4 linked regions of the Saccharomyces cerevisiae S288C genome follow. The protein of the gene in region 3 purifies or fractionates together with the protein of the main gene of each other region. This does not show direct contact. Each region holds a gene or a part of one and is shown on either strand. Other genes may lie near its edges.

Region 1 (8,717 bases), on a different chromosome or scaffold from region 3:
TGTGGAGGCACCCAAGAAGGCGAATAAGATAAAGATAAGTTTGAAAGGTGATAAACCTGTTAGAAAAGTGGAAAAACAAATTGTGAAGCCGAAGGTAACTAGCAAACAAAGGAAAGTCAAAAGTCATGTGAACCGCATGGGCAGTTTACCTTTACGGTTTGTTAAGATCCAACAACAACCTAGAGTAATGGTGCATTTGTCATCCGTCCCGTATAGCCAATTCGTTCAAATTACAAAAGTCACATCAAGATCGTTTATGGTTAAGATAAGAACAAAGAATGATGCTAAGAATTGATTGTTTGCTTGAGTCTGAGTAATATCATATTTTATACAAATACATAGACATAAACAAAAGAGGCAAGTAGATAAGGGTATAGCCATATGAGTGTATAAACAAACATTGGGAACAAGAGCAAGACGATGGGGAGTTTCAAATAGGATAGCTATACTGACAACATTCAGTACTCGAAAGATAAACAACCTCCGCCACGACCACACTCTATAAGGCCAAATGTACAAACACATCTTCCCAATATCCGTCACCACGTACTTCAGCATAATTATTCGTCAACCACTCTACAAAACCAAAACCAGGGTTTATAAAATTATACTGTTGCGCGAAGTAGTCCCATATTCCGTGCTGCATTTTGTCCGCGTGCCATTCTTCAGCGAGCAGAGAAGACAAGACATTTTGTTTTACACCGGAGCCAAACTGTGAGTAATATGCTCTAAAAGCCATAAATGAGTTTAAATATTTCTTTGAAGATTTTATAGATGTCTTATTGAACTGTCGAAACTGAGTATTTTGACTTCCAGACGCTATCCTGTGAATTTGGATTTTATTTAAAAATCGAGAGGAAGGAACAGGAATCTGGATATCTTTCTTGAGTGGTCGAATAATATTGAAGCAGCTTGGCCTCACATGCTCAGCTAGACGTTTTTCTTTCAGCTTTTTTGAAACCGCTGTGTTTCTGTATGATTTGGATGCTTTGTTCTTAATTTTGAAAGCAGGCTTCGAAGTAAACATATTGTGAATGTCGTCTATTAAGTTATTATATATGGTTGATACATTTCATAAAAAGTGAAGGTTAAAAGAAGTAGTTAAGAGTTTAAGTTGTTTCATATGATGTACTTTTCTACATTGGGAAGCAATAAATTGCATCCCAAACAAAACCCAGACATCATTAATGTTTTGAAACATAAAATGTTGGAACTTAAAAATATATATAAAGGAGAGATTGAAATCAGCTTAGAAGTGGGCAAGAAAAAAAGGAAGATAAGCAAGAAAAAATGAATAAAATACCCATTAAAGACCTTTTAAATCCACAAATCACAGATGAGTTTAAATCCAGCATACTAGACATAAATAAAAAGCTCTTTTCTATTTGCTGTAATTTACCTAAGTTACCAGAGAGTGTAACAACAGAAGAAGAAGTTGAATTAAGGGATATATTAGGATTCTTATCTAGGGCCAACAAAAACCGTAAGATTAGTGATGAGGAGAAGAAGTTGTTGCAAACAACATCTCAACTCACTACTACCATTACTGTATTACTCAAAGAAATGCGCAGCATAGAAAACGATAGAAGTAATTATCAACTTACACAGAAAAATAAATCGGCGGATGGGTTGGTATTTAATGTGGTAACTCAAGATATGATAAACAAAAGTACTAAACCTTACAGAGGACACCGGTTTACAAAAGAAAATGTCCGAATACTAGAAAGTTGGTTTGCAAAGAACATCGAGAACCCATATCTAGATACCAAGGGCCTAGAGAATCTAATGAAGAATACCAGTTTATCTCGCATTCAAATCAAAAACTGGGTTTCGAATAGAAGAAGAAAAGAAAAAACAATAACAATCGCTCCAGAATTAGCGGACCTCTTGAGCGGTGAGCCTCTGGCAAAGAAGAAAGAATGAGCCCGAAAAACAAATATGTATATATCTGTGTAGAATATATATATATATATTTCGCAAAAATACATAAACAATCAACCCTCTCCTCAGACACTACTAAGATGTTTGTACTGATAGATAATGTCCTCGCCTACCTTCTTGAACAAGACGACCTATTTGTAACCGCACGCTTCGCTATCCAGGGCCAAATCGTCTCAAGAAGAGTTAACAAAATACATATCTCCAACATCACAGACGTCCTTCTACAACAATTCATAAGTCACACACTGCCCTATAATGACAATATCGTCCCAAAAAAAATCCTCGACAGCATGAGAACGGCCGTACGGCAGTTGCTGGAAGCAACTGCCTGTGTCTCTAGAGAATGCCCCCTCGTCAAAAGAAGTCAGGACATAAAAAGAGCAAGAAAACGTCTACTCAGTGACTGGTATAGGCTCGGCGCTGATGCAAACATGGATGCCGTATTACTAGTTGTTAACTCCGCCTGGAGGTTTCTGGCCGTCTGGCGACCCTTCGTAAACTCAATCCAACATGCAACTCAGGAATTGTATCAAAATATCGCCCATTACCTTCTTCATGGCAACGTAAATATACAGAGGGTCACAGCACTAATACAGCTCGTAATGGGACAGGACGATTTACTTTTTAGTATGGATGATGTTCTACAAGAGGTCTTCAGAATACAGCTCTATTTGAATAAGATGCTGCCGCACAACTCTCACAAATGGCAAAAGCCATCCCCCTTTGACTCCGCAAACTTACTACTTAACTTCAGAGACTGGACAACTGACAATGCTCTCCTCCAAGAGTTGCTACTATCCTATCCCACAATTAATAAAAACAAACACAAAAATCACTCCGTCCCTCGTCTAATACAAATCTGGGTAGAGTCTTATTGGCAAGATAGTGAGACAACATTAAAAGATATCCTCAATTTTTGGTACAGTCACTTGGCTGAATATTATGAATACCAAGAACTGTTTGCAGACATAGTTCAGCTGTTTATAAACAAAAAAAGAACGAGGCAATTGAAGATTCATTACATTGGTCTAACTGATAAGGAAATCGAAGAAAATAAACCGCCCCTGGACTACGAAAACTTATTTCTCCAATACGAGATAGACAAAACGAACGCAAATGATGAATTGTGCGGTGCAACTGACCTCAGTGATTTACTTTTCCAATGGAAACAGGGTGAACTTCTAGAAGTCGAAGCCTTCGCTCTAAACGTATCTCCATGGTCACTTGCAAAGACATTGACTCTCTTAGAATCTTCTCTTTACTTGGATATTGAAACAATAGAATTCACAAGACATTTCAAACACAACGATACAACAATTGACTCCGTGTTTACGCTTTCCAACCAGTTATCGTCCTACGTTCTTGAGACAACTTTGCAGCAAACGCACACCATTTCCTACTGGTTACAAGTTGCACTGTCTTGTCTATACTTACGAAACTTAAACTCACTTGCTTCAATCATTACATCATTGCAAAATCATTCAATAGAAAGACTATCTCTCCCGATAGATGTTAAATCAGACCACCTTTTTCAGCGCCTAAAAGTCGTCGTACATCCAAACAACAACTACAACGTTTATAGAAGAACAATTAAACATATTTTCCACAGTCAGCTTCCTTGTGTACCTTTTACATCACTGCTTATCAGGGACATTACCTTCATAAGAGACGGAAACGATACATTCACTAAAGATGGTAATAACGTGAATATGCAAAAGTTCAACCAAATCACAAAGATAGTCGCTTTTGCGCAATATTTACAACAAAAGCAATATGAAGATATACACTGTTCAAATACTACTGCAAGAAGCTTATTAGGGGCTATGATAAAGGTGCACACTTTATATAACGACAACAAAGACAGGGCGTATCAAGTCAGTATAGCTAAGGTTCCAAGGCTTACCTAAAAACAGAACTGTTCAAAGAAAGATGACTTCCTTTTGCTTCTTGTACGCTCACAAATAATTAATATTCATGTTTAGTACTGAAAATTAAGAATACTTGCATAACTACAGTAGATAATATTTTTTGATAAGAAACCAGACGTAAATTAGATGTAATCTTTTACAGATATTACAGTCAACTTAATCAATTACCTAAAAAGGTTTAAGATTGTGCATAGGAAACGTTTCAATTACCGTATCTTTAGGCTACCGCCTCTTTCTTATTTTCCCTTACCCTTTTTTCAATCTAATTAATTGATGATTTCGCACGTGGGAAAAGTAATCCGATGCATTGAAAAATTATTACCAGAAAACAGTGTTTCACACCAAAAAAGCAGTCAGCTCTCAGATAAAGGTGCAGCAAAACTACGGTAAAGGCGGCTATTATTGTGCCTCGAAATGAGATTCTCACACTTTCTCAAATACAACGCTGTCCCTGAATGGCAGAATCATTACCTAGATTATAACGAATTGAAAAATTTGATCTACACATTACAGACAGATGAATTGAAACAAGAAACGCCAACCGGTGACTTAAACGATGACGCTGACTCTCAGACTCCAGGTCCAATCGCTGATATAGAAAGCAACATAGCTGCAGGAGAACCATCTTCATCGAAAAGAAGATTTACACATAAACTCAAGCGTAAGCTCTTTGGTTCTAAAACACCTTCAGGAAGCAAAAGGGGAGACTCCGACGAAAAGGCCATAGATGGGAACAATATTAACGAGGAAACAATTGAGTTAGACGAGTTATCTCCTCAAGGGAAAACCACCTCTTTCAATAAGAATTTTATACGTAAGAAATTCTTTGAATCACGCAGCTCATCTGTGAGTAGCGAGGGAAAGACGCTCTTCAGTTCTTATGATACATTCGTAACTAACCTGAGCGACGAGAAATTGAAAGTAGATGATTTCTACAAAAGAATGGAAGCTAAGTTCTATGAAAGATTTGACCACTTGATTAATGATTTGGAGAAGGAAGGCATTGTAACAAGATTGAATGAAACTTTCAATCCTGAAATTCAAGCATTGCCTCCTTTAAGAGAAATTATTTCTGGTACATCAGAGACACATTCATCTAATAACCCATTTGAAATACACTCTTCAAACATCGACAGTGAATTGAGAAATAGGTTTGATTACAGCGAAGAAGAAATGGATGAAGATGATGACGTTGACGTGTTTGCTGACACTACCGACAATACCGCCCTCTTGAATTATTCGCAATTTAACATTAAATCTCAGAAAAAGTCATTATTAAAACAGACAATAATAAATCTTTACATAGACCTTTGCCAGTTGAAATCTTTTATCGAATTGAACAGAATGGGTTTCAGTAAAATTACTAAGAAGTCTGATAAAGTATTGCACATGAACACTAGGCAAGAATTAATAGAAAGTGAAGAATTTTTCAAAGACACCTACATCTTCCAGCATGAAACTTTAAGCAGTTTAAACAGTAAAATTGCACAACTTATTGAATTTTATGCTGTTCTCATGGGTCAGCCTGGGAACGTAGATTCATGCAAGCAAGAGTTAAAGTCGTACCTGCACGACCACATTGTTTGGGAAAGAAGCAACACATGGAAAGACATGTTGGGCCTCTCTTCGCAAAATAACGATATAATAACTATTGAAGATGAAGCTGAGAAACTTATGCAAGAAAAGCTTCAAATTGAATATTTCAAGTATCCATTGCCTAAGCCAATTAATTTGAAGTTTACTAAAATTGAAAATTTGGCAGTTCCTAAGCTATTTTTTGGGAAAAGAGCAATGAAAATAGGCTTCATTATCATTGTCACAGGTGTTTTGTTGGGTGTTAAAACTTTCAATGACCCTGTCGAACACCGGTGTATGGCATTGGTAGAATGCTGTGCTTTCTTATGGGCTAGTGAAGCCATTCCATTACACATCACAGGTTTATTGGTTCCCCTTCTAACTGTCCTTTTTAGGGTACTAAAAGACGATGACGGTAAGGTAATGGGAGCAGCAGCTGCCTCTACAGAAATCTTAGGTACAATGTGGTCGTCAACAATTATGATTTTATTAGCAGGTTTCACATTGGGTGAAGCCTTGTCGCAATATAACGTTGCGAAAGTTTTGGCATCGTGGTTATTGGCCCTTGCAGGTACCAAGCCAAGAAATGTCCTTTTAATGGCAATGAGTGTTGTATTCTTTCTTTCGATGTGGATTTCCAACGTTGCCTCCCCAGTATTGACATATTCTCTATTAACACCCTTACTAGATCCGCTGGACTACACTTCACCGTTTGCTAAGGCATTAGTCATGGGTGTTGCACTTTCGGCAGATATTGGTGGTATGGCTTCACCTATTTCTTCGCCACAGAATATCATCTCCATGCAGTACTTAAAACCTTATGGAATCGGCTGGGGGCAATTTTTTGCTGTCGCTCTGCCTACAGGTATTCTATCGATGCTGTGCTCCTGGGCCTTGATGATACTCACCTTTAAAATAGGCAAAACTAAACTGGAAAAATTTAAACCAATAAGGACCAGATTTACTATAAAGCAATATTTTATCATCATTGTAACTATTGCTACTATTCTTCTATGGTGTGTAGAGTCACAAATAGAAAGTGCTTTTGGATCGTCCGGTGAAATTGCAGTAATACCGATAGTCCTGTTTTTTGGTACAGGTCTACTATCAACAAAGGATTTCAACACATTCCCTTGGTCAATTGTTGTTCTTGCTATGGGTGGTATAGCCCTTGGTAAGGCAGTTTCATCTTCAGGCTTGTTGGTAACTATTGCAAGAGCATTACAAAAGAAAATTCAGAACGATGGTGTTTTTGCTATCTTATGTATTTTCGGTATTTTAATGTTAGTTGTGGGCACTTTTGTCTCACATACTGTGTCAGCAATCATCATTATTCCCTTGGTGCAAGAAGTTGGTGACAAATTATCCGATCCAAAGGCAGCTCCAATTCTTGTGTTCGGTTGCGCCTTGTTAGCCTCATGCGGTATGGGGTTGGCTTCATCTGGATTTCCAAACGTTACTGCTATTTCTATGACCGATAAAAAGGGTAATAGATGGCTAACTGTAGGCGCTTTTATCTCCAGAGGTGTTCCTGCTTCGTTGTTAGCGTTTGTCTGCGTAATTACTCTCGGTTATGGTATTAGTTCTTCCGTCTTAAAAGGTAGCACTTAAACTGCCCTCATGTAATTACATTTCTTATTACTGCATTCTTTGTACCTTTTTAAACTTTATATATATGACGAAAACTAAAATTTAACAAACTAAAAGTAAAAAATTGCAGTAGATTTTATGCATCTTTCTGAACATCTTTATACAGTGGCATGCTTTCAGCAGCACCTTTTCTTTGAATGGTCAATGAACTAGCTAATGTAGAGAACTTTATAGCCGTAGACAAGGTCTCTCCTTGATACAATTGAGTAACCAAACCGCCCAGGAAAGTATCTCCAGCTCCTGTAGTATCAACAACCGAAACATTTTGAATAGCCGGAAGGAATTGTACTTCAGGGCTTTCGTGCGAACAGAAAAGCACCCCTCTCGAACCCAAAGTCATAACCACAATTCCTCTTTTCTTTCGATTCATGAGTTTTTCATACAAAAGCTCACAAATTTTACGATATTCTCCTAAAAAGTCGTCCTTTATCTTCTCCCTTATTTCTTCAACAAGTTCATTATCAAATACACTTTCCACGATTTGAAGACCCTCAATTTCATTAACGACCAAAAGGTCTACCAACTCCCAATCTTTCTTAGGCATGGCCTTGAAAGGTGAGGGGTTATATACGATCTGAAAATTCGGCCTGTTCGCATGTATCCATTTAATAATGGAAAGAGGATCAGGAATTTCGTGTTGAAAAACAACATACTCTTCTTCCTCCTTGCCCTCTGGAAAAATTTCACACAACTGTTTCGGGTCATAAATAGTCTTGCTGTTAGCACCTTCTACAATCAATATCCTATTTTGGCCACCAGCTTTCTCTTCAATTAGTATGGTAGCGGTACCCGTATTAATGCCTTCGTAAGTACCGACGTGAGTGATATCGACTCCGCAATCGGATAAAGTGTCCTTCAATTGTTTACCAAATGTATCATTTCCAACATTACCAATCATTCGAACACTATATCTGCTGCTGGGGTTTTTTAATTTACCAATGGCCGCAGCTTGGTTCAATCCCTTACCACCAGCATGTGTTTCGAAGTGGTTAGCCCTGAAAGTTTCTCCAGCGTTAGGTAATCTATCCGTAAATGTGTCCAAATCATAGTTTAGAGAACCTATTACTGTAATACCCATCTTTGAAATATGCTGTTGGAACTTTGGGATGAAAGACAACAAACATCTTATTGGCTATTTTTATCCTATTTGCTTCATGATTGTTCTGGCCACCTTCGGATATAAACCCTTTTATTCCCGTTTGATCTGGAGAGATTTTCAAATCACAGTCGACGAAAGTATAAGATTTTTCTTTCTTTTTTTATGACAGAGTATATAACAATAATGGACAAATTAGACGATGAGTATTGTTACACAAATAAGTTTGACAGTAGTTTCACAGGCATCTAATATTGGAAATGGCTGAAAGTACCACGTTAGAAACTATTGAGATACACCCAATTACTTTTCCACCTGAAGTTCTTGCGAGAATATCTCCAGAATTGTCTTTACAAAGACACTTATCCCTAGGAATCAGGCCATGTCTAAGAAAATATGAAGAATTTAGAGATGTTGCTATAGAAAATAATACTTTATCGCGTTATGCGGATGCTGGTAATATAGACACTAAAAACAACATTTTAGGCTCAAATGTTTTGAAAAGTGGGAAAACCATAGTCATAACT
Region 2 (7,617 bases), on a different chromosome or scaffold from region 3:
GTTGACGACTAGGCAAATCTGCGAAACATCCTAGTACAATGGCATTTGGTTCTGATGACAAAACAATAGTTTGTTCCTCCACTGAAATGTTATTCAAATCTTCGATATAAAAAATGCGGTAATTTCAGACCCAAAGACATCCATTACCCATCATGCTAAATTGTGGGATAAGATATATATGGTTAATTGATCTGATTCAGCTGCAATAATATCGGTATTTATTATGGTACCTTCCATGCTCTTTGCCGAACTGCAGATAACCTGCGTCTGCAAATTGCAGGAATTACTGAAAATGAAATTGCTAAACTTTGGGAGCTACTAGAAGAAAAATGAGTACCTCTCCTACTTATATTTCCCATTTTCTTGAAGGTTTCTCCTTCCCATATAAGAATTCCAAACGGTGTTCCTTTACAAACCCATAAGGGTATTAAAATGATTCTCAAAATTTCCTACTGCACTATTGTTTTTTCTTTCTAATAGATGAATCATCCGTACACACACAGAGACCACCGTTTACTTTCATATCAGAATAGAAGTTGTGAAAGCTACCTACGAGACTTAAATAAACATCTTTTTCGATGGTGAGCTTTTCATGGTAATTCGTCGAGACAGTAACTGTTTTGCTCTTTTCTATGATGTCTAAAGCCAAAACAATGTCCATCAAGACTAGCGTAATAAAAATCAACCTGCTCATTGACAATTGGATTATTTTTGGCTGTTCAAGATTAAAACAGACTCAGTAGGCAAAAACTTCAATCAATAGTACCGGGAAGATGACATTCCGGTCTAAGTGGTATTATACACTTATAGTAAAGTCACGTCAACCTTTGTTACTTTTCTTAATTGATTATATACGCACTCTTCTCAATATTTGATTTCTTCATCGAAAAGATCTACACGAAGTTTTTATCATGTGTTAGCGTGATGGAAAAGATCTGTGCACGTTTAATTAGAATTGCAAAAGCTTCAATGGGTTTGATTGAGATTTTTATTTTCAATTCACTCATCTTGATGTTCACCACCAAGCCTACATCGAAACTTTGAAATACAGGAAAGTTGCAGGAGGCTTTATTGGTTGAATTGAAAAAGAAAGGAAGAAAAACGTAATGGTAAAATAAAACTCGACTATGGCGCAACCGATAGAGAGTTTAGTGGCATTAGAAATTTTAAAAGAAGCTTTAAACTACAAAGTGTTCTTCTGAATCTGAATAAGGTCACTTACATAGAAACCTACTTACCTCAAAAGCGTAATTCCGAAAGGCAAAAGAAAAACTTTTGTAGAATCTTCAGCTGCTAGAAGTTCAAATAGAAGACAAATTACGGACTTGTTGCAGTATATGCCAAGCTACAGAAGAAATTATATTTCTTAATACGTACAGAAGGTATGAAACGTTAGTTTACTCACAGAAGATACCCTGGCTTTTCTTTTATTAATACATGGAGTTGCAAAAAACAAGGGAAAGGAAAATCAATCAAATTAGAATTAAGGTTTTTTTTGGACAGTGCAGCGTCAATGCGCACGTAATGGCTTCGAAGAAAAAAAGAAGGCAAATACAATGAAGCTGAGATCTTGTTTTATCATGAGGGGAAATAAATTGGAAGCATTGAAGTTGTTGGAATGAAACTCTAAAATATCATCTGTTTAGTAGTATCGTGTTACTAGTACATTATCACATACAGTGTAAGAAAATGACATTAGGTATGAGAAACAGTCATCAAATCTAATGGAAGCGAAATTCAAGGGTTGGTGATGTAATAGGATAATGAAACATATAAAACGGAAGTAAAAATAATCGTAATATTACAAGGAGACCAAACAAACAGTCGAGAGAAGCGTATGCACAATCATGCAAGAAAAATTTTCTGGAAGAATTTATTTAATCTTAAATTACAAATCTTAGTAGTAATGGTCACTTCTGATAGTTTCGAAAAAGGAAAGAGGAGATGACTATTGAGTCAAATTTTTTTGACGGAAACTTAGCGACCGAAAAATATATATGATAATAAGAAAACGAATGGCATACAATGATTAGTTTCAAATATTTCACGCGCAAAGAAAGAATTCTACTACCGGAGTGTGCCCTTCTTGTACTTTATTATCAGACTGTGTCTCTCTAATTGCGTGTTGTCCGCGGAATAATGCTCTAATTTAAAAAATCGACATATTCTGACTTGTATGGCGCTTTGCATTGGTGTTTATATGTTAATAACCCCTAATCATACTCTATATGAATACTTTCAAATTTACCAACACAATAAAATCTTCATATTCTCATGCATGTTTTGCCCTGTATCACTAAATAATACATACTTTACCGAAGCTGGTTGTATTTCGTGTATATCATAGCCAATGATGCCGTTATAATGTCCGAAATATTATCGCTTAATGAAGGGAAGCAGCTAACAAATATGACAAATACAGCAATTTCTTACACCGGTAACTAATGATTATACAAACAAGACTTGATTTTTTTTATGGCCTGTAAGAATATATCATAACGTGAGTTCTAGATATTTAAAGTTCTTTATGCATATTCTAGTCTACGTATATAGGAGTTCCAAAAAAAAAAAAAATTAAATGCACGTTATTCTTGACGCTAGTGTAAGTTTTTATGTACTTTACCTGCTAGCTTCGTATTTCTGTCTTGGGATATTCTTGTCCCTATTATGAGAATGTACAATATGCAAAATAAAGGTAAAAGATTTGAAAAAGAGAAAATACCCAAATATCAACAAAACTACCTCTATAGGACCTGTCTCATGGTCTTGACAACTTTATGCGAAATAAGAACACGATCGTTATATCACTTAACGCTTGAGATATATACAGAATGTAGTACATGTCGGCCCTTCTACGGATTTATTACCATGTGTATACTAGAATTGATACCGGCAACCCATAGTGACTTTTAACAGGGCAATTGGATTTGCATAAAAGTATATACAGTAATAATAATATTTCCTGATGAGAAAGGTGGAAAGTATCGAGTTATGTGTACCTTCAATACCAATCTCTACCTCTCGTTAATAGTGCCACAATGCTATGGATTCTAAGCAATTTAAACCGCATAGCTATTAGTGTAGACTTCCCACTGTATTTGAATGACACGTTGCCTTCATTCCTTGTTGCGCTGAACTTTCACGTCAGATATATATACATAAGTGCAATAGAGGCCTAGGCTAATCTGCAAATTTCTCATAGATGTACACCGCCTGTGCCGTACGGCATCGCTATCTTCTGAAAGGAAACTGTAGTAAATTTACCAAAATATCTCCGAATAAAAAGAAGAGGAACATCTTTTAATGAATTATAGAGTACAAAAGAATCATTTAAAAGAGAGGGCGAGTGAAAACATGAAAAGAAACGTTACTAACTTAATTGACCTTAAAGTAGCCTCACCAGTTAAGTGCATTATTGATCATTCCATGAATAACCATTTTTAAAGACTAAGATGCTGAGTTGTGTTATATAGAGAGAAAAAAACGTACTTTCAGTTTCCATATGAGGTGGAGCGCAGGTCATAGGTATGCCGGCTCATTGTTTTCTATTTTAAAAAGTAAAAAATATGCTGCTAAAGGAACACGTGAGAAATTACATTCTCCCTAGGTCTGCGATAACGCGGTAATATTACACTGCCGCCGCCTTCCATGCCTTTGGAAAGCAGACAATGATGCTAGGCGGCGCCCAGCAGTATAAACTTTTCTTGCTTATAACCAGAACCTCTATCACAAAATTAGAAACTGCGATACTATGGGTCAGATCGACACATAGGGAGCACTATTAGGCGCAAGGCGTATACATAGGCATTGCGTGTTCAAAAATTGTCGTATGAGAAAAGTTCCAAACTTTCCACCATTACTCACCAACAACTTACACCAGCCCGGATTTAAGATTTAGCTTCCGAGAATATTGTGACTCAGCCACTGGTCTCTTGAATGTTGCGTGTAGCTTGATTAAGATTATGGCATAACCGTTTTTTTTACTTGGCAAGAGTGAACGTCCTTTTACTCCAAAAGGCTCCTGATGAAACTGGAGAGTCTCTTTGTTCTGAAATTTTTAAAGTTTAGCACACCATATTCACGCTCGAGGTGAACCCAAGTTTTCCTGAAAAATGTGCCATGAACCTGAAAAAAAGAATTATTCTCGAAAATAAAAAAGGCAATCAAGATCGGAAAGATAAGCATTTTTTTTCAATCCGTATCTAACATTCATAAAGTGATAAAAAAATTGATAACGATTTTATTGTCGCCTCTTGTTTTGAGTATATTTTTTTAACGTTCTTTTTCGGCATTCAAATTCCGTATAATCAACTCAATTGTAAGGCGCCGTAGCATCCAAATAATGTTGAAAGTGCCAATTTGCTCATCAGTGCTAAATATTCCTTGATAAAAATATAGAAGACAAGGACATATAAAAAGAAAGACTGCTCTAGTGTTGGGACACCACAATGAAAAAATACTTAACGTGTTTCGAAACTGTGAATATAAAATTCCAGCAAAAACCAAAATATTCACTACAATGATTGATCGTACCGAGTTATCGAAGTTTGGTATTACTACGCAACTGTCTGTTATTGGACGTAATCCAGATGAACAAAGTGGCTTTGTTAATCCACCTTTGTATAAGGGGTCAACCATCATTCTTAAAAAACTTAGTGATTTAGAACAAAGGAAAGGAAGATTTTACGGGACAGCAGGTTCTCCAACTATTGACAATTTAGAAAATGCCTGGACGCATTTAACCGGCGGTGCTGGGACAGTGCTATCAGCTTCTGGGCTTGGTTCTATCTCTTTGGCGCTATTGGCCCTTTCGAAAGCTGGTGATCATATCTTGATGACTGATAGTGTCTACGTGCCAACACGTATGCTATGTGATGGTTTATTGGCCAAGTTCGGTGTTGAAACGGATTATTATGACCCATCAATAGGGAAGGATATAGAAAAACTAGTTAAGCCAAATACAACCGTCATTTTCCTCGAAAGCCCGGGTTCTGGGACCATGGAAGTACAGGATATTCCAGCTTTGGTCTCTGTTGCCAAAAAGCATGGGATAAAGACAATTCTAGACAACACATGGGCAACGCCACTCTTTTTTGATGCTCATGCGCATGGTATCGATATTTCGGTAGAAGCTGGGACAAAATATTTGGGTGGTCATTCAGATCTTCTTATTGGTCTGGCCTCCGCAAATGAAGAATGTTGGCCGCTATTACGGTCAACTTATGATGCAATGGCAATGTTACCAGGTGCCGAGGACTGTCAATTAGCATTGCGAGGAATGCGTACATTGCACTTAAGATTGAAAGAGGTAGAAAGAAAAGCCCTGGATTTGGCTGCTTGGCTCGGAAATCGAGATGAGGTTGAAAAAGTGCTTCACCCCGCCTTTGAAGATTGTCCCGGACATGAATACTGGGTTCGTGACTACAAAGGTTCTTCAGGCTTATTTTCCATTGTCCTTAAAAATGGGTTCACAAGAGCTGGTCTGGAGAAAATGGTAGAAGGGATGAAAGTTTTGCAATTGGGATTTTCATGGGGTGGCTAGAAAAGCTTCAACATGGCCTTACAAAGGTTTTGCACTAAGAATACAAGTGGGTCTCGAAGAATTTGAAGATTTAAAAAGGGATTTTGAGTTAGGCTTTGAACGTCTCGCAGAAGAAATTTCTTTGAATCCTTTACAAATCTGATTTTTTTTCCTTTTTTTTTTGGATTTCCAAGCAATGTTGTTTGAGAAATGAATGAAATTTTTGACTATAGCTTGTCTTAGGCAGGCTGGAGTAGACAACCATCTAGTAGCCAATGTTTGCCCAGTTAATATATGGTTCAATTTTCTAGCTGTATCATATTATGGATGATGAAGCAGATAATCTTTCTTTTTTCTGTATGTCTGATTGTAATAAAGAGGCTTACCATATTGTGAATGCATTTCAATGACACTGCATAATGAAGTCATTGTATTTAGAAAAGTAATAATTTTGTATTGTATAAAGATAGAAAAAACGTATATCGTACTTATTCAGCGGAAATGATTCTGCTTTATCTACTTGCGTTCCTGAATATAATATTTGTGAACCAGGCTTGAGCTTGACACTACAGATTTTTTAGTTCGATTTCATTCAGTAGAGAAAGGCATATCAATATGACATGTGATCTCACTCCGCGGCTAAATGCTAGCAATAAAAAGAATACCGTAATAGAGATGCAGCAAAATAACCACTGGTGTTTAAGAAATAATATGATTACGTCAGTAACCGAAGAGCCCGTACGCACTCTGCTACCATAGACTATGTATATTGTTACCTATTGTAAATAGCTATGGTTACTCTAAGTACGTATGGTGCTATGCATCTCGGTGAACGGATGCAATTATGAAAGTGTAGGTCAGAACATCATCGGTGGTTTTGTCGTGTAAAAAAGGTTATAAGGAAAATTATACTCACATGATTTTATTCATCATCGTCTGTGTATCGCTTCAATTAACATTTTGAAAAAGAGATTACTTTATATGACGTTATGTATATCTTTCAACTTAAATAACCTTAGCTGGCAAAATAAAGAATAAGATAAGGGCCAAGAAGAACGCTAATACTCGTTTTTTTTCAACTACAAAACAACTAGTTGGATAATTTTGAAACAACAAAGTAGAAGTTGTACATATATTTTTGCGCATATGGCTCTGAAATATCGTATTTTTCAAAAGCCCGATACAAAGCCGTCAGCAATACCCATAGTTAAAGATTCCTTGATAACCTATAGCTTCCGTAGACAACAACACAAATTTACCACCTACTTTTAACTCACCCATGTTTTTCAGTTTATCAATGAATCTAATAAACGTGGCTTACGTAACAGCTCCGCATGGACTTGAATTTACTCCTAGCGAGCCTAGTGTTTTAATTGCTTGCATACAATCTTCATCGGAAACTAAACAGGAAATAGATGGCCCCTTTCTGTAGTAGAAGAAATGCTGTTGCTGAAATCCTCGGACAGTTCAACTCATCCATGATTGTTCTAGAGGTTCCTAGATCAGATGAAGCCTTTTGTAACACCAATGACTTATTGACAGTGTAAGCGGTATCTGGTTCAACCGAGAAGACTTTCGTATTCGATTTATGCGACCTGTAATATGTTATCACTCCTTGAGCAAAAGAATCAGCCCCACAAGGGACAAATATTACCGCAGGATCGAATGGTATTTCGCTACACAAGGTAGTGTAACCATAAGAAATCCAGTTAGGAATTTCATCATAACCTATGAATGAAAAATCTTGAATAAGTTGATTTTTTTGTCGGATCGCTACTACAAAACTCTAAAGAACTTTTTATTGCATAATCATAGTTACCTTTAATTTTGATAACTTCTGCTCCCTTTTCTGATCTGATGTTCTCACGCTCTGTTCTAGAACATTCCATGGAGTAAATATTGTAGACTTTAAGCCTAGGATTTTTGCCATGTATGCAACTGCTCTACCATCATTACCATCTGTAACAGCCGCTAGCATCAAAGACGGGTGTTGGAATTTGACAATTTGCTTCAATGTATCCAAGGAAGTTTTAGGTAATGGCAGGCTAAATCTTCCAATCAAACAGCAAAATACACCTCAAGACGCCCCAAGAATT
Region 3 (8,118 bases):
TCATTGTCACTGGATCGTCATATTCACTCTTGTTCTCATAATAGCAGTCCAAGTTTTCATCTTTGCAAGCTTTACTATTTCTTTCTTTTTATTGGTAAACTCTCGCCCATTACAAAAAAAAAAGAGATGTTCAATCGTTTTAACAAATTCCAAGCTGCTGTCGCTTTGGCCCTACTCTCTCGCGGCGCTCTCGGTGACTCTTACACCAATAGCACCTCCTCCGCAGACTTGAGTTCTATCACTTCCGTCTCGTCAGCTAGTGCAAGTGCCACCGCTTCCGACTCACTTTCTTCCAGTGACGGTACCGTTTATTTGCCATCCACAACAATTAGCGGTGATCTCACAGTTACTGGTAAAGTAATTGCAACCGAGGCCGTGGAAGTCGCTGCCGGTGGTAAGTTGACTTTACTTGACGGTGAAAAATACGTCTTCTCATCTGATCTAAAAGTTCACGGTGATTTGGTTGTCGAAAAGTCTGAAGCAAGCTACGAAGGTACCGCGTTCGACGTTTCTGGTGAGACTTTTGAAGTTTCCGGTAACTTCAGTGCTGAAGAAACTGGCGCTGTCTCCGCATCTATCTATTCATTCACACCTAGCTCGTTCAAGAGCAGCGGTGACATTTCTTTGAGTTTGTCAAAGGCCAAGAAGGGTGAAGTCACCTTTTCTCCATACTCTAACGCTGGTACCTTTTCTTTGTCAAATGCTATTCTCAACGGTGGTTCTGTTTCCGGTTTGTAACGTAGAGACGACGATGAAGGCTCTGTAAATAACGGTGAAATCAACCTAGACAATGGAAGTACCTATGTTATCGTTGAACCAGTTTCTGGAAACGGTACAATCAACATCGTCTCTGGTAACCTATACTTGCACTACCCTGACACCTTTACTGGCCAAACTGTTGTATTCAAGGGTGAAGGTGTTCTTGCCGTTGACCCAACCGAAACCAACGCCACTCCTATTCCTGTTGTTGGCTACACCGGTAAGAACCAAATTGCCATTACCGCCGACATCACTGCTCTTTCTTACGACGGTACTACTGGTGTCTTAACTGCAACCCAAGGTAACAGACAATTCTCTTTTGAAATTGGTACTGGATTCTCTAGTTCTGGCTTCAGTGTCTCCGAAGGAATCTTCGCAGGCGCCTACTCATATTACCTAAACTATGACGGTGTCATCGCTACAAGCGCCGCATCCACATCCGCATCCACTACCTCTGGTGTTGTCTCTACTGCCACTGGTTCAGTCACTTTATCCTCTAACGCTTCTACCACCGTCTCTTCTACGATCTCTTCTAGCGCCCCAGACTCAATAATTCCTTCATCTAGCGCCTCTATCTCTGGTGTCTCAAACTCCACTACAGCATCTGGTTCAATCGCTTCTACTGCTTCCACCGCTTCCACTACTTCTACTGCATCCGCTGCATCCGCCACCAGCTTCACCTCAGGTTCCGCTTCTGTCTACACTACTACATTAACTTACTTGAATGCCACAAGTACAGTCGTGGTTTCCTGTTCAGAAACAACCGACGCTAGCGGTAACATTTACACCATTACCACAACTGTCCCATGCTCATCTACCACTGCCACCATCACATCTTGTGACGAAAACGGATGCCATGTTCCAGCACCAACTGCTACCGACGCAACTGCAACCGTTTCCTCCAAGTCATACACCACTGTTACTGTTACTCACTGTGACAACAATGGCTGTAACACCAAGACTGTCACTTCTGAATGTTCTAAAGAAACTGCAGCAACCACCATTTCTCCAAAATCATACACTACTGTTACCGTTACTCACTGTGACGACAACGGCTGTAACACCAAGACTGTCACTTCCGAGGCTTCCAAACAAACATCATTGGCCACTAGCACAGTCACCAAGTCTGCTGCTCCAACTTCTCATACTGCTGCTTCCAGCACCTTCACTGGTATTGTCGTTCAATCCGAAGGTATGGCTGCTGGTTTGAGAACCAATGCTTTAAGTACTTTGGCAGGTATTTTCATCCTTGCTTTTTTTTAAAATGAGTGCGTAACCGTACTTTCCTAAAAATAACTAAGTAGAAAGTATTTTAATATATAAACGTCAGTGTAAACATTCAAGTGATTTTAACTTTACGCGGTTGAAGAATGCTGTGTTCGAACTATAAAGCGTCAGAAAAGATGGTTTAGCGAAGGCACCATTATGAAGATAGACACATTCTTCTTTTTTTTTTTTTTTTTTTTTTTTTTTTTTTTTTTTCATTTACTTTTATTTCGCGCGGTCGGTAAATTTTTCGTGGGTTTCTTTGAATCTATTAGCCGACATAAGAATAATGCATAAATAATATTTTTAATGTCTTCCTATGCCCAAAAGAAGAAGTCTTGAAGTTGCCGCACATGGAAATCACATGACCATGGCTTGGCCCTTCGTTTTAAATGCAACATGCAATATGGAATGTGTCATGAATACTATCAGCAGGAACAGAAAGCGTCGTTTTGTTTCTGCAAATGCTGTAGTTTTGGGCCGAAAATAGATGTAGTAGAATATATAGTGAAACGTGATGTACAAAAGAAAAAGGTAGTTTAAAAAAAATTAGATAACTTGGATTTTTACCCTGAATATTGCATGTGATTCGTAAAGAACTGAGTTACCTCAAACGGACCTCCCTTTTCATTTCGTATTCCGCGAATCATGAAGTCATGCAATTACCTCTGAAGAGCTGACTGTCCCAAAAGAAGCTATCGAATCTGTCCTTGATTTATTTAAGCCTTGCGTTTCGAGAAAGTGAAAACCAATTGAATACAAAATAAAAAAAAAGAAGAAAGAAATAGCAGGTCTAAGATATATAAGAAAGTTAATATCATTTTTGAACATTTTATTTTAGACGCCTTCAGCCGCGCGACGCCCGGAGTAATCATATGCCCATGACTTTACCAAAAGGCAACAGGGAGGAACATGCATTAATGTGAAGCATCACTGCTGCAATTCTCGGTGTTGCTAATAATTCATGGATCGAGAAAGAGACATAACATTTAGGCCAATTTTTTGAATAAATATGAACTCAGCTAAGACTCGACAATACAATTTTCTTATACTAAACGTAGATTTATAAAATAAACACAACTGTAAGGGCAATGCAACCGTAGATGCATATATCATTTATAGAAATTATATCCAACAGAAAGCTCAGACTTATATCCGGTTTAAGAGAGAAATTCTTGCTCATATTACCCCAAGACCAGGTGGCGTGTTGAAGTTTATAACATATAAGAACTACTACCTCATGAATTCTAGTGGATGAAAGAAGCAGCACGAACACCATTTCTACAGACAACGACACATGGAAAGGTTCACCATTCCCAAAGAAAACAACGATGGCCACAAGGGTGTGGTCCTCCATTCTCCTACTGTTGGAAGGAGATATTATCCGACCGACTGTTTTGTGATATGGCAAACTATTTTTTTAAATGAGCAAAATTACTTCTTTTGGCTGGAAATGTCATTAGAAAGTGCCCAAGTGACATTTAGCTAAACTCGGGTATTGTCTACAAGACCGGTGCTGTGACCGTTTCCAATACGGAAAGAAACGGTACTGGGAGCAGGAGTTGCTTTTACAGATATGAACAATGCCAATAGAGCCGCACATGTAATTACTGGTTCACACTCGTGGGGCCCACACGATTCCTGTGCAAAGTTTGACAAGAGGATGGAGTTTCACGTAAATGCTGCCAAAGGTGATGCGGTTTTGTTTTTGGGCAGCCTCTACCATGTTGCAAGTGCGAACCATACTGTGGCCACATAGATTACAAAAAAAGTCCAGGATATCTTGCAAACCTAGCTTGTTTTGTAAACGACATTGAAAAAAGCGTATTAAGGTGAAACAATCAAGATTATCTATGCCGATGAAAAATGAAAGGTATGATTTCTGCCACAAATATATAGTAGTTATTTTATACATCAAGATGAGAAAATAAAGGGATTTTTTCGTTCTTTTATCATTTTCTCTTTCTCACTTCCGACTACTTCTTATATCTACTTTCATCGTTTCATTCATCGTGGGTGTCTAATAAAGTTTTAATGACAGAGATAACCTTGATAAGCTTTTTCTTATACGCTGTGTCACGTATTTATTAAATTACCACGTTTTCGCATAACATTCTGTAGTTCATGTGTACTAAAAAAAAAAAAAAAAAAGAAATAGGAAGGAAAGAGTAAAAAGTTAATAGAAAACAGAACACATCCCTAAACGAAGCCGCACAATCTTGGCGTTCACACGTGGGTTTAAAAAGGCAAATTACACAGAATTTCAGACCCTGTTTACCGGAGAGATTCCATATTCCGCACGTCACATTGCCAAATTGGTCATCTCACCAGATATGTTATACCCGTTTTGGAATGAGCATAAACAGCGTCGAATTGCCAAGTAAAACGTATATAAGCTCTTACATTTCGATAGATTCAAGCTCAGTTTCGCCTTGGTTGTAAAGTAGGAAGAAGAAGAAGAAGAAGAGGAACAACAACAGCAAAGAGAGCAAGAACATCATCAGAAATACCAATGTTGAAGTCAGCCGTTTATTCAATTTTAGCCGCTTCTTTGGTTAATGCAGGTACCATACCCCTCGGAAAGTTATCTGACATTGACAAAATCGGAACTCAAACGGAAATTTTCCCATTTTTGGGTGGTTCTGGGCCATACTACTCTTTCCCTGGTGATTATGGTATTTCTCGTGATTTGCCGGAAAGTTGTGAAATGAAGCAAGTGCAAATGGTTGGTAGACACGGTGAAAGATACCCCACTGTCAGCAAAGCCAAAAGTATCATGACAACATGGTACAAATTGAGTAACTATACCGGTCAATTCAGCGGAGCATTGTCTTTCTTGAACGATGACTACGAATTTTTCATTCGTGACACCAAAAACCTAGAAATGGAAACCACACTTGCCAATTCGGTCAATGTTTTGAACCCATATACCGGTGAGATGAATGCTAAGAGACACGCTCGTGATTTCTTGGCGCAATATGGCTACATGGTCGAAAACCAAACCAGTTTTGCCGTTTTTACGTCTAACTCGAACAGATGTCATGATACTGCCCAGTATTTCATTGACGGTTTGGGTGATAAATTCAACATATCCTTGCAAACCATCAGTGAAGCCGAGTCTGCTGGTGCCAATACTCTGAGTGCCCACCATTCGTGTCCTGCTTGGGACGATGATGTCAACGATGACATTTTGAAAAAATATGATACCAAATATTTGAGTGGTATTGCCAAGAGATTAAACAAGGAAAACAAGGGTTTGAATCTGACTTCAAGTGATGCAAACACTTTTTTTGCATGGTGTGCATATGAAATAAACGCTAGAGGTTACAGTGACATCTGTAACATCTTCACCAAAGATGAATTGGTCCGTTTCTCCTACGGCCAAGACTTGGAAACTTATTATCAAACGGGACCAGGCTATGACGTCGTCAGATCCGTCGGTGCCAACTTGTTCAACGCTTCAGTGAAACTACTAAAGGAAAGTGAGGTCCAGGACCAAAAGGTTTGGTTGAGTTTCACCCACGATACCGATATTCTGAACTATTTGACCACTATCGGCATAATCGATGACAAAAATAACTTGACCGCCGAACATGTTCCATTCATGGAAAACACTTTCCACAGATCCTGGTACGTTCCACAAGGTGCTCGTGTTTACACTGAAAAGTTCCAGTGTTCCAATGACACCTATGTTAGATACGTCATCAACGATGCTGTCGTTCCAATTGAAACCTGTTCTACTGGTCCAGGGTTCTCCTGTGAAATAAATGACTTCTACGACTATGCTGAAAAGAGAGTAGCCGGTACTGACTTCCTAAAGGTCTGTAACGTCAGCAGCGTCAGTAACTCTACTGAATTGACCTTTTTCTGGGACTGGAATACCAAGCACTACAACGACACTTTATTAAAACAGTAAATAGATAATATGATTATGTAATTTTAGAAACTAATTATGAATACCGATTTATTTTTTTTTTTTTTTTTCACTTTTGCTGGCAAGAAATACGAAATTGCAATGACGATCACAGTCCAAAGAGGTAAGCACAAAGGCGCAGTATGTGATTACTCTATCATTCTTTAGCAAAACCAGGATAGGAGTATATGTATAAGAAATATGCAACGCCATCATTTAATGCAATAGACACGACATGCCCTTTACATGAGGTGGTACAATGTTTTAATATTGTGTCAGGGCAAGTACATGATAATATCGTTTAAAGATGATGCTAGAGTAAAAGTATGAAGTGAAAGAAAAGGGCAATTGATTGACTAAGCGGATGTTGTAGGATGATATAGTGGCTCATGATCTGTAAATGATCGGTTGACCGCAGTATTATATAATAACATCCGTATAAGTACATATACTACCATGTCTGTTCTCTACATTGCTTTTTATTCAAGATTATTGGTTTTCCTAACCGCCGCGCCGCGCAGGTACCCCGCGCATCTCTTCTTCTCGAAGAAAGCGGAAAAAACAAAAAAAAAAGTATAAATAGTGGAGTCTTTTCCCATTTAACATTTAGAAAAAAATTCGAATGGAAATTTCTTGCCGAACATTTAACCGGAGACCCTTGGCGGCTTTTTCTCAGTTTCGTGGGCTAGTACATTTTACCTAGTATGCTGGGAACTTTTTTTCCGTATTCTATTCTATTCCTTGCCTTACTTTTCTTATCATTTTTTATATAACCAATTTCAAAAATACTTTTTAACTGTCATAGACGCATTTTGTTTATTACAAATTAAAAGAATCAAATATAATATGTGCAATTAATAACTCCACAAGTAGCGAAAGCAATGGCCGCCATTAGAGACTACAAGACCGCACTAGATCTTACCAAGAGCCTACCAAGACCGGATGGTTTGTCAGTGCAGGAACTGATGGACTCCAAGATCAGAGGTGGGTTGGCTTATAACGATTTTTTAATCTTACCAGGTTTAGTCGATTTTGCGTCCTCTGAAGTTAGCCTACAGACCAAGCTAACCAGGAATATTACTTTAAACATTCCATTAGTATCCTCTCCAATGGACACTGTGACGGAATCTGAAATGGCCACTTTTATGGCTCTGTTGGATGGTATCGGTTTCATTCACCATAACTGTACTCCAGAGGACCAAGCTGACATGGTCAGAAGAGTCAAGAACTATGAAAATGGGTTTATTAACAACCCTATAGTGATTTCTCCAACTACGACCGTTGGTGAAGCTAAGAGCATGAAGGAAAAGTATGGATTTGCAGGCTTCCCTGTCACGGCAGATGGAAAGAGAAATGCAAAGTTGGTGGGTGCCATCACCTCTCGTGATATACAATTCGTTGAGGACAACTCTTTACTCGTTCAGGATGTCATGACCAAAAACCCTGTTACCGGCGCACAAGGTATCACATTATCAGAAGGTAACGAAATTCTAAAGAAAATCAAAAAGGGTAGGCTACTGGTTGTTGATGAAAAGGGTAACTTAGTTTCTATGCTTTCCCGAACTGATTTAATGAAAAATCAGAAGTACCCATTAGCGTCCAAATCTGCCAACACCAAGCAACTGTTATGGGGTGCTTCTATTGGGACTATGGACGCTGATAAAGAAAGACTAAGATTATTGGTAAAAGCTGGCTTGGATGTCGTCATATTGGATTCCTCTCAAGGTAACTCTATTTTCCAATTGAACATGATCAAATGGATTAAAGAAACTTTCCCAGATTTGGAAATCATTGCTGGTAACGTTGTCACCAAGGAACAAGCTGCCAATTTGATTGCTGCCGGTGCGGACGGTTTGAGAATTGGTATGGGAACTGGCTCTATTTGTATTACCCAAAAAGTTATGGCTTGTGGTAGGCCACAAGGTACAGCCGTCTACAACGTGTGTGAATTTGCTAACCAATTCGGTGTTCCATGTATGGCTGATGGTGGTGTTCAAAAACATTGGTCATATTATTACCAAAGCTTTGGCTCTTGGTTCTTCTACTGTTATGATGGGTGGTATGTTGGCCGGTACTACCGAATCACCAGGTGAATATCTCTATCAAGATGGTAAAAGATTGAAGGCGTATCGTGGTATGGGCTCCATTGACGCCATGCAAAAGACTGGTACCAAAGGTAA
Region 4 (7,829 bases), 190 kb from region 3:
GATGTAGAGGTGAAAGTACCAGTCCATGGTTCAGTGGTGGTGCTGATTAGACCTTCACTAGTTGGAGTTCTGATGACAATGACGGTTTCGTCAGTTGGAACGCCGTTGGTACCGGTGACGGTGGTCATTTCAGTGGATGTAGAGGTAAAAGTGTCGTTCCATGGCTGAGTTGTAGTCATGGCAGTAGTGGCTGTTGTTGGTGTTCTGATGACAATGATGGTCTCATCAGTTGGCAAACCGTTGGTACCGGTGACGGTGGTGATTTCAGTGGATGTAGAGGTAAAAGTGTCGTTCCATGGCTGAGTTGTAGTCATGGCAGTAGTGGCTGTTGTTGGTGTTCTGATGACAATGATGGTTTCATCAGTTGGCAAACCGTTGGTACCGGTGACGGTGGTCATTTCAGTGGATGTAGAGGTAAAAGTGTCGTTCCATGGCTGAGTTGTAGTTATGGCAGTAGTGGCTGTTGTTGGTGTTCTGATGACAATGATGGTTTCATCAGTTGGCAAACCGTTGGTACCGGTGACGGTGGTCATTTCAGTGGATGTAGAGGTAAAAGTGCTGTTCCATGGCTCAGTTGTAGTTATGGCAGTAGTGGCTGTTGTTGGTGTTCTGATGACAATGATGGTTTCATCAGTTGGCAAACCGTTGGTACCGGTGACGGTGGTCATTTCAGTGGATGTAGAGGTAAAAGTGTCGTTCCATGGCTGAGTTGTAGTCATGGCAGTAGTGGCTGTTGTTGGTGTTCTGATGACAATGATGGTCTCATCAGTTGGCAAACCATTGGTACCGGTGACGGTGGTGATTTCAGTGGATGTAGAGGTAAAAGTGTCGTTCCATGGCTGAGTTGTAGTCATGGCAGTAGTGGCTGTTGTTGGTGTTCTGATGACAATGATGGTCTCATCAGTTGGCAAACCATTGGTACCGGTGACTGTGGTCAATTCGGTAGAAGTAGAGGTAAAAGTGTCGTTCCATGGCTGAGTTGTAGTCATGGCAGTAGTGGCTGTTGTTGGTGTTCTGATGACAATGATGGTCTCATCAGTTGGCAAACCATTGGTACCGGTGACTGTGGTCAATTCGGTAGAAGTAGAGGTAAAAGTGTCGTTCCATGGCTGAGTTGTAGTCATGGCAGTAGTGGCTGTTGTTGGTGTTCTGATGACAATGATGGTCTCATCAGTTGGCAAACCATTGGTACCGGTGACTGTGGTCAATTCGGTAGAAGTAGAGGTAAAAGTGCTGTTCCATGGCTCAGTTGTAGTTATGGCAGTAGTGGCTGTTGTTGGTGTTCTGATTACAATGATGGTTTCGTCAGTTCGTACACCATTGGTGCCAGTGACTGTGGTCAATTCGGTAGAAGTAGAGGTAAAAGTGCTGTTCCATGGCTCAGTTGTAGTTATGATGGTGCTAGCAGTTGTTGGAGTTCTGATGACAATGACGGTTTCGTCAGTTGGAACGCCGTTGGTACCGGTGACGGTGGTCATTTCAGTAGATGTAGAAGTGAAAGTACCGGTCCATGGTTCCGTTGTAGTTATGGTAGTACTGACAGTATAATTTGAAGGGTCTGGAATGGTACAGTTTGGCTGGCTTAGATTGTTGTCAAAAGTATATACGTACCCTTCAAAGTCATCACTAACGGTAGTGCCATCTGGTAGTGTCACACTAATTGGAAGTGTACCCCAGGCAACGGCATTTGAGTAAACAATCTTCATTGGATAATAGAAACCAGCATACATGTAGACAGTCCCTGTAATATTATCAGGGGGACTTCCATTCCATGGCTTGATACCATTGATGGTGAAGTTAGTCGACGTGATGGGAGGTTGTTCTTGTGCACAACATTCGAACGCAATGCTACCACCGACTGATAGAATTGCAGAGTCGTCAACTGTAGCAAACTTGAATGTGTAAGAACCCGTCTGTGGTGGTAAAAAATAACCTGTCATTTCTAGGGTTACGTTTGTTGGGGTAGTATAGAAACCAAATAAATCAGTACTCCAGTATGCAATTATTGGATTATTAGAACAAGCACCAATTCCTTTGCATCCCCAATTACCATATAAATCTTCTTGAGGACAAGGAAATGTGCCTGATGAACTAACACAAGGAATATTATAATCAATCGAGATATCAGTTTGTCCTCCGACAGAACCCAGTTTAGTTTTTGAGGCATATCCATAAGCCATATATGCTGCATTCGAATATGTGGAGGAATCTCTCAATGAATACTGGTAAAAGTTTACATTCATACCATTCTTCCTTGAGTTTGCTGGCAGGCATGCCGCTGTAGTCGCAGAGACAACATTAGTTAATCCCAGCAATGTGACGATGGCTAGTAGTAAACAATAATGTGCCAGAGACATTTTTGGGGCTTTTATTGTACAATTGTTCTTTTTAAATTGCAATTTAAAGAGCGTACCTGTAAATAAGAAGGAAGAACGTTATGTTATTAATGGACTTTTAGTGTCATCGAATTTTATGTAATATATAAGAAGGTAGAATAATTTGGCAGGATAATGTGTTAGCAAAGGAGGAAATCGAATACCTTTAAAAGAGAAAAAATTTTTTAGCTGCTTAAATTTCTGTGTTATACCACCCGATAGATTTTGAGTTATGCTTTCTAATTGATCTGACTGCGAACGTTTTCTTTATGCCATCTGAATTGTCAGGAACAAAGAAGAAAAAGAAAAGTTTTTAAAAAATCTGTGGTCGTGTGTGATGTACCTTTCCTTTACATGCATTAATGCGCTCTGAAATGTGGTACGATATCCTTACAGAGAATATATTTTCTGTATATCGTGCAATGTTGAATAACCTATGAAGGAAAGTACCCATCGCTCAAGGTAAGCATTCCAGGAGGGTCGCCAGAAACTTAAACTAGTTTTAGCGACAGATCCGAAAATTGATAGAGACATTGAAAAAATCACTACTCCGTCCTTTTTAGTGCTTTCTCAATGCATAATTTTGGTGCACGACTAAAAAATTCTAGAACACTATAGTTGCATTTTTTGGGCCGGAAGAAGAAAAACGCATGTAACTTTAATGTCAAATAAAGTTTTCACCTAGTAAGCGCGATACAAAAAAAACACAGAAATAGCCATAGGAAAGTGAATTTTGTCAGCCGACTAAAATTAAGGTTAGCTTACAAAGCAGCAAAAAATTTGACATCGCACGGTATTCCCTGAAAAAGGAGCAGGCAGGTGCTGTATATTTTTTTCGGTTCCTGCCTCTTACATGGCGTCGGTGTATCTTAAATACTAAAGTGAGCTGACTACCCTTTTGAGTGCCCTATGTGACCTCTGATCTCGAAAGTAAACAAGAGATACCTAATTTCACAGCCACTTTTTGTTGCGGACACTGACGGGATGTGTTGTGAATATTTTAAACCTTAAAAGTATTTATTGGTTAGTTATACTTAATTCTTATACGTCCTTTAAAACCAGTGTGCAGTAAGTCTGTCACACAAAAATATGATTGATGCATTTTCAAAAAATAATGGCTTTGAGGTAATTCGTTCCACTTTTGAGACTTATTCACATGTCCCAGCTGGGTGCAATCAAAATATACCGGCATTTCAGCAAGGTAACTATATACGCTTTTTTTCTCATGGTTTTTGAAATCATACCTGCCAAGCTTGCTGCACTTGGAAGGCAACTCCGTTTTTCAGAGATTAGATCCTTTTTTTTTTGAAGAAAAGGCAGCCAAGTTACGTCATAGAGAAAACTCCCTAGAGCGCTGCAAACACTTGTTAGTTTGCAGCTTACTTCACGTGTGGCTGGAAAATTGAAAAGTTACAATACGGTAAAAATACTTTGAAGACACTACACTATAACTGCTTGACCAAATTTTTACTCGTGAAAAATTTGTTCCAGCCGGTCTGTTACTGATATTAAGTTAAGGAATAGTAAACCGTATATTTTTCATCCACGTTTTTGTAGTTTATTTTCGGTTTACTAGCTATGCATTGATTGTCTATCAGAGCATATCAAGGTGGTTATGGAGGTGCTGATATTTAATCAATAAAATTATAGAAATTTTGAGAAAACAATAATGATTGTTTCTACAATGAAAATCAGTTCATGGAATAGTTGCCTTCGCACTACTTTTTCACCAGATTAATGGTGCATCAGAGCTTTCCCTTTTTGTCTTTTTCTTGTTTCCTTTTTCGATTGGTTTATCACGTAAGTTTCTTATGACATAAGAAGAGGCAAGAAACGAAAAGGGAAATATTGCCTACTTTTTTCTTTTCGAACGTAAATAATGACGGGATTTTGGTGTCATTTTTTTTCGTCTGGATTTTCTCAGAGAAGTACGTTTCGTCGCACAAGCTAAAATCATTGACAGGGCATGAGTTACGTCAATCTCTGGTCAATCCATGTCCAAAAAAATTTCTTGATTTGTTCAAAGTTTTTGCATAGGCACATTAATTGGTTTAGCGAAGTATACATTCTGAAGAACATTTTTGGGTGTATTTTCCACATAGAAAATTCGATTTTTTTTTTTCAATGCACCACTTGTCGAGTATACGTTAACTTTAATGTATTGAAGATGCAAAAATGAAAAGCCTACTTGGCATATGGAATTACAATAAATGGTCAATTCCTGTTTAAGCTAGCAGCGGCACTGTCGGTGTAAATTTGGGTTTAAACTATTGTTTACTTACTTTGAGAAATTTATGTATCGCCTATATTTTTCAATAAGTGCGATATCTTTAGCTTTCCACAGAACCCCCCCTCAGGCTATGGACGTGCGGTTATATGATCTTCTAATAAAAATCTCTTAGACTACGGTTCATGGAATACTTCTTGACTTCTTGGCGAAGGAAAGGCGCATAAATGTTGTGATCGAATGACCAGTAATACGTCGTTTGTTCTCTTGCTGAACAGCGAGGAAGAGATATTCATCCAAATGCATGAACGCAGAATCCTGTAAAAGTCGTAAAAATGTTAATCGCAATGTTGTAAAAACCGTCAAGGCATTTATCGTTCAAAATGGCGATCATTGTTACTACTAAACACTTACTGTTAAATTAAAAAGCTGATGTTGCGTAATCCATTGACCAATTCATAGGCAATGTATTTCAATGACGCACAAGATTCATAACAAATTTTTTATTTACGATGTACCTGTACATTGTGCAGAAGGTCTTCAGAGTGAGTTTAAGCTAGGCTGTAAATATTTTAATGTTAAGATGAAATTTAAGTGAGCTGGTAATATCAAGTGAGGCATAATTTGTTATATGTAGCTGAACTTCAACTTTAAATAGAAAAATTACAACTAACAAGCACCGGATTGTTTCAGAATTCAAAGTGTAGAAGCTATTATTCTTGCAAAATAAAACGCTTTCAAAGTTTTCTTCTATAAACATACTTGTGGCAGCTTGTTTTTTTTGTTTTATTTTTAAGTTTTGTTGGGTCTCTGAGAACTTTCAAAAAAAGAAAAAGTAAAGTATGATAAAACGGAGCACTTGCCAAAGTAATTAACGCCCATTAAAAAGAAGGCATAGGAGGCATATACATATATATATATATATATATATATGGCTGCTGACAGATATTCTGCACTTAAAAACTAAAAATATTATACCAACTTTTCTTTTTCTTCCCGTTCAGTTTGCTTGATTGGCCCAGCTCTTTGAAGAAAGGAAAAAATGCGGAGAGGGAGCCAATGAGATTTTAAAGGGTATATTACTTATCTTATCGATAAGCAGTATTGATATTAAAGGGACAGTTTTATCGTTGGTTAATATGGAAAAAGTGATGACCATGATGCCTTTCTTAAAAAGAGTATTTCTTTTTATTTCACTTTCACATAAACAGTTAATGACTTCTGACTTTGAGCCGTTCGAACTCAGTTATATAAAGGTACATACATAGGCCACACACACACACACACACACATATATATATATATATAGGGAAGTAGCAACAGTCACCGAAAAGAAAAGGTAAAAAGTAAAAAATGACAAGCGAACCAGAGTTTCAGCAGGCTTACGATGAGATCGTTTCTTCTGTGGAGGATTCCAAAATTTTTGAAAAATTCCCACAGTATAAAAAAGTGTTACCTATTGTTTCTGTCCCGGAGAGGATCATTCAATTCAGGGTCACGTGGGAAAATGATAATGGCGAGCAAGAAGTGGCTCAAGGATACAGGGTGCAGTTCAATTCAGCCAAGGGCCCTTACAAGGGTGGCCTACGCTTCCACCCATCAGTGAACCTGTCTATCCTAAAATTTTTGGGTTTTGAACAGATCTTCAAGAATGCGCTCACTGGGCTAGATATGGGCGGTGGTAAGGGTGGCCTGTGTGTGGACTTGAAAGGCAAGTCTGACAACGAGATCAGAAGGATTTGTTATGCGTTCATGAGAGAACTGAGCAGGCATATTGGTAAGGACACAGACGTGCCCGCAGGAGATATTGGTGTCGGTGGCCGTGAAATTGGCTACCTATTCGGCGCTTACAGATCATACAAGAACTCCTGGGAAGGTGTGTTGACTGGTAAGGGTTTAAACTGGGGTGGCTCACTTATCAGGCCGGAGGCCACCGGGTTCGGCTTAGTTTACTATACGCAAGCAATGATCGATTATGCAACAAACGGCAAGGAGTCGTTTGAGGGCAAACGTGTGACAATCTCCGGAAGTGGCAATGTTGCGCAATATGCAGCTTTGAAAGTGATCGAGCTGGGTGGTATTGTGGTGTCTTTATCCGATTCGAAGGGGTGCATCATCTCTGAGACGGGCATTACTTCTGAGCAAATTCACGATATCGCTTCCGCCAAGATCCGTTTCAAGTCGTTAGAGGAAATCGTTGATGAATACTCTACTTTCAGCGAAAGTAAGATGAAGTACGTTGCAGGAGCACGCCCATGGACGCATGTGAGCAACGTCGACATTGCCTTGCCCTGTGCCACCCAAAACGAGGTCAGTGGTGACGAAGCCAAGGCCCTAGTGGCATCTGGCGTTAAGTTCGTTGCCGAAGGTGCTAACATGGGTTCTACACCCGAGGCTATTTCTGTTTTCGAAACAGCGCGTAGCACTGCAACCAATGCAAAGGATGCAGTTTGGTTTGGGCCACCAAAGGCAGCTAACCTGGGCGGCGTGGCAGTATCCGGTCTGGAAATGGCTCAGAATTCTCAAAAAGTAACTTGGACTGCCGAGCGGGTCGATCAAGAACTAAAGAAGATAATGATCAACTGCTTCAACGACTGCATACAGGCCGCACAAGAGTACTCTACGGAAAAAAATACAAACACCTTGCCATCATTGGTCAAGGGGGCCAACATTGCCAGCTTCGTCATGGTGGCTGACGCAATGCTTGACCAGGGAGACGTTTTTTAGCCGTAAGCGCTATTTTCTTTTTGTTCGTAACTATCTGTGTATGTAGTAGTGTAATCTACTTTTAATTTACTATGCAAATAGGGTTCAGCATTACGGAAGAAACTGAAATCCCTTCCGCGGAAGTTTCTTAGTAGTGGCCGTGCGGGGTGAGGAGATTACATGTCGGTAATTAGATGATTAACCTAGGCAATTTGAAGGGGGATAGTGGCATTGGTTAGCTCAGATATGATAAGGAGAACTAAGCAAGGGGGTTAACCACCACGGCTGTAGCACAAGACCGGCAGATGCGATTATTAGCAACACATTAGTTAATGCTTTTGATAAAATGTATATAAAGGCTGTCGTAATGTGCAGTAGTAAGGACCTGACTGTGTTTGTGGTTCTCTTCATTCTTGAACCTTGTCATTGGTAAAAGACCATCGTCAAGATATTTGAAAGTTAATAGACAGTTAACAATAATAACAACAGCAATAAGAATAACAATAAATTCATTGAACATA

Evidence for each region.
Region 1: the proteins of PHO11 (region 3) and BUD5 purify together in Saccharomyces cerevisiae (affinity purification with mass spectrometry, with the first as the bait; one large-scale study listed by BioGRID). This does not show direct contact.
Region 2: the proteins of PHO11 (region 3) and IRC7 purify together in Saccharomyces cerevisiae (affinity purification with mass spectrometry, with the first as the bait; one large-scale study listed by BioGRID). This does not show direct contact.
Region 4: the proteins of PHO11 (region 3) and GDH3 purify together in Saccharomyces cerevisiae (affinity purification with mass spectrometry, with the first as the bait; one large-scale study listed by BioGRID). This does not show direct contact.

What each region holds. Positions count from the first base shown.
Region 1 is NC_001135.5:192,752-201,468, reverse strand, and holds BUD5 (Ras family guanine nucleotide exchange factor BUD5), read left to right. Parts: upstream 1-1,919; coding exon 1,920-3,848; downstream 3,849-8,717. Other genes in the region: transcription initiation factor TFIID subunit TAF2, read left to right, coding at 1-295; YCR041W (uncharacterized protein), read right to left, coding at 226-558; MATALPHA1 (transcriptional co-activator mating type protein alpha), read right to left, coding at 500-1,027; MATALPHA2 (homeodomain mating type protein alpha2), read left to right, coding at 1,291-1,923; PHO87 (SPX domain-containing inorganic phosphate transporter), read left to right, coding at 4,284-7,055; RBK1 (putative ribokinase), read right to left, coding at 7,171-8,172; exosome non-catalytic core subunit RRP43, read left to right, coding at 8,451-8,717. UniProt on the Saccharomyces cerevisiae protein: GDP-GTP exchange factor (GEF) for the small GTPase BUD1/RSR1. Regulates the activity of BUD1 together with BUD2 which is a GTPase-activating protein (GAP) of BUD1. Required to produce both the axial and bipolar patterns of bud site selection.
Region 2 is NC_001138.5:259,685-267,301, forward strand, and holds IRC7 (cysteine-S-conjugate beta-lyase IRC7), read left to right. Parts: upstream 1-4,519; coding exon 4,520-5,542; downstream 5,543-7,617.
Region 3 is NC_001133.9:220,923-229,040, forward strand, and holds PHO11 (acid phosphatase PHO11), read left to right. Parts: upstream 1-4,537; coding exon 4,538-5,941; downstream 5,942-8,118. Other genes in the region: YAR066W (uncharacterized protein), read left to right, coding at 127-738; YAR068W (uncharacterized protein), read left to right, coding at 1,484-1,969.
Region 4 is NC_001133.9:25,612-33,440, forward strand, and holds GDH3 (glutamate dehydrogenase (NADP(+)) GDH3), read left to right. Parts: upstream 1-5,955; coding exon 5,956-7,329; downstream 7,330-7,829. Other genes in the region: flocculin FLO9, read right to left, coding at 1-2,357.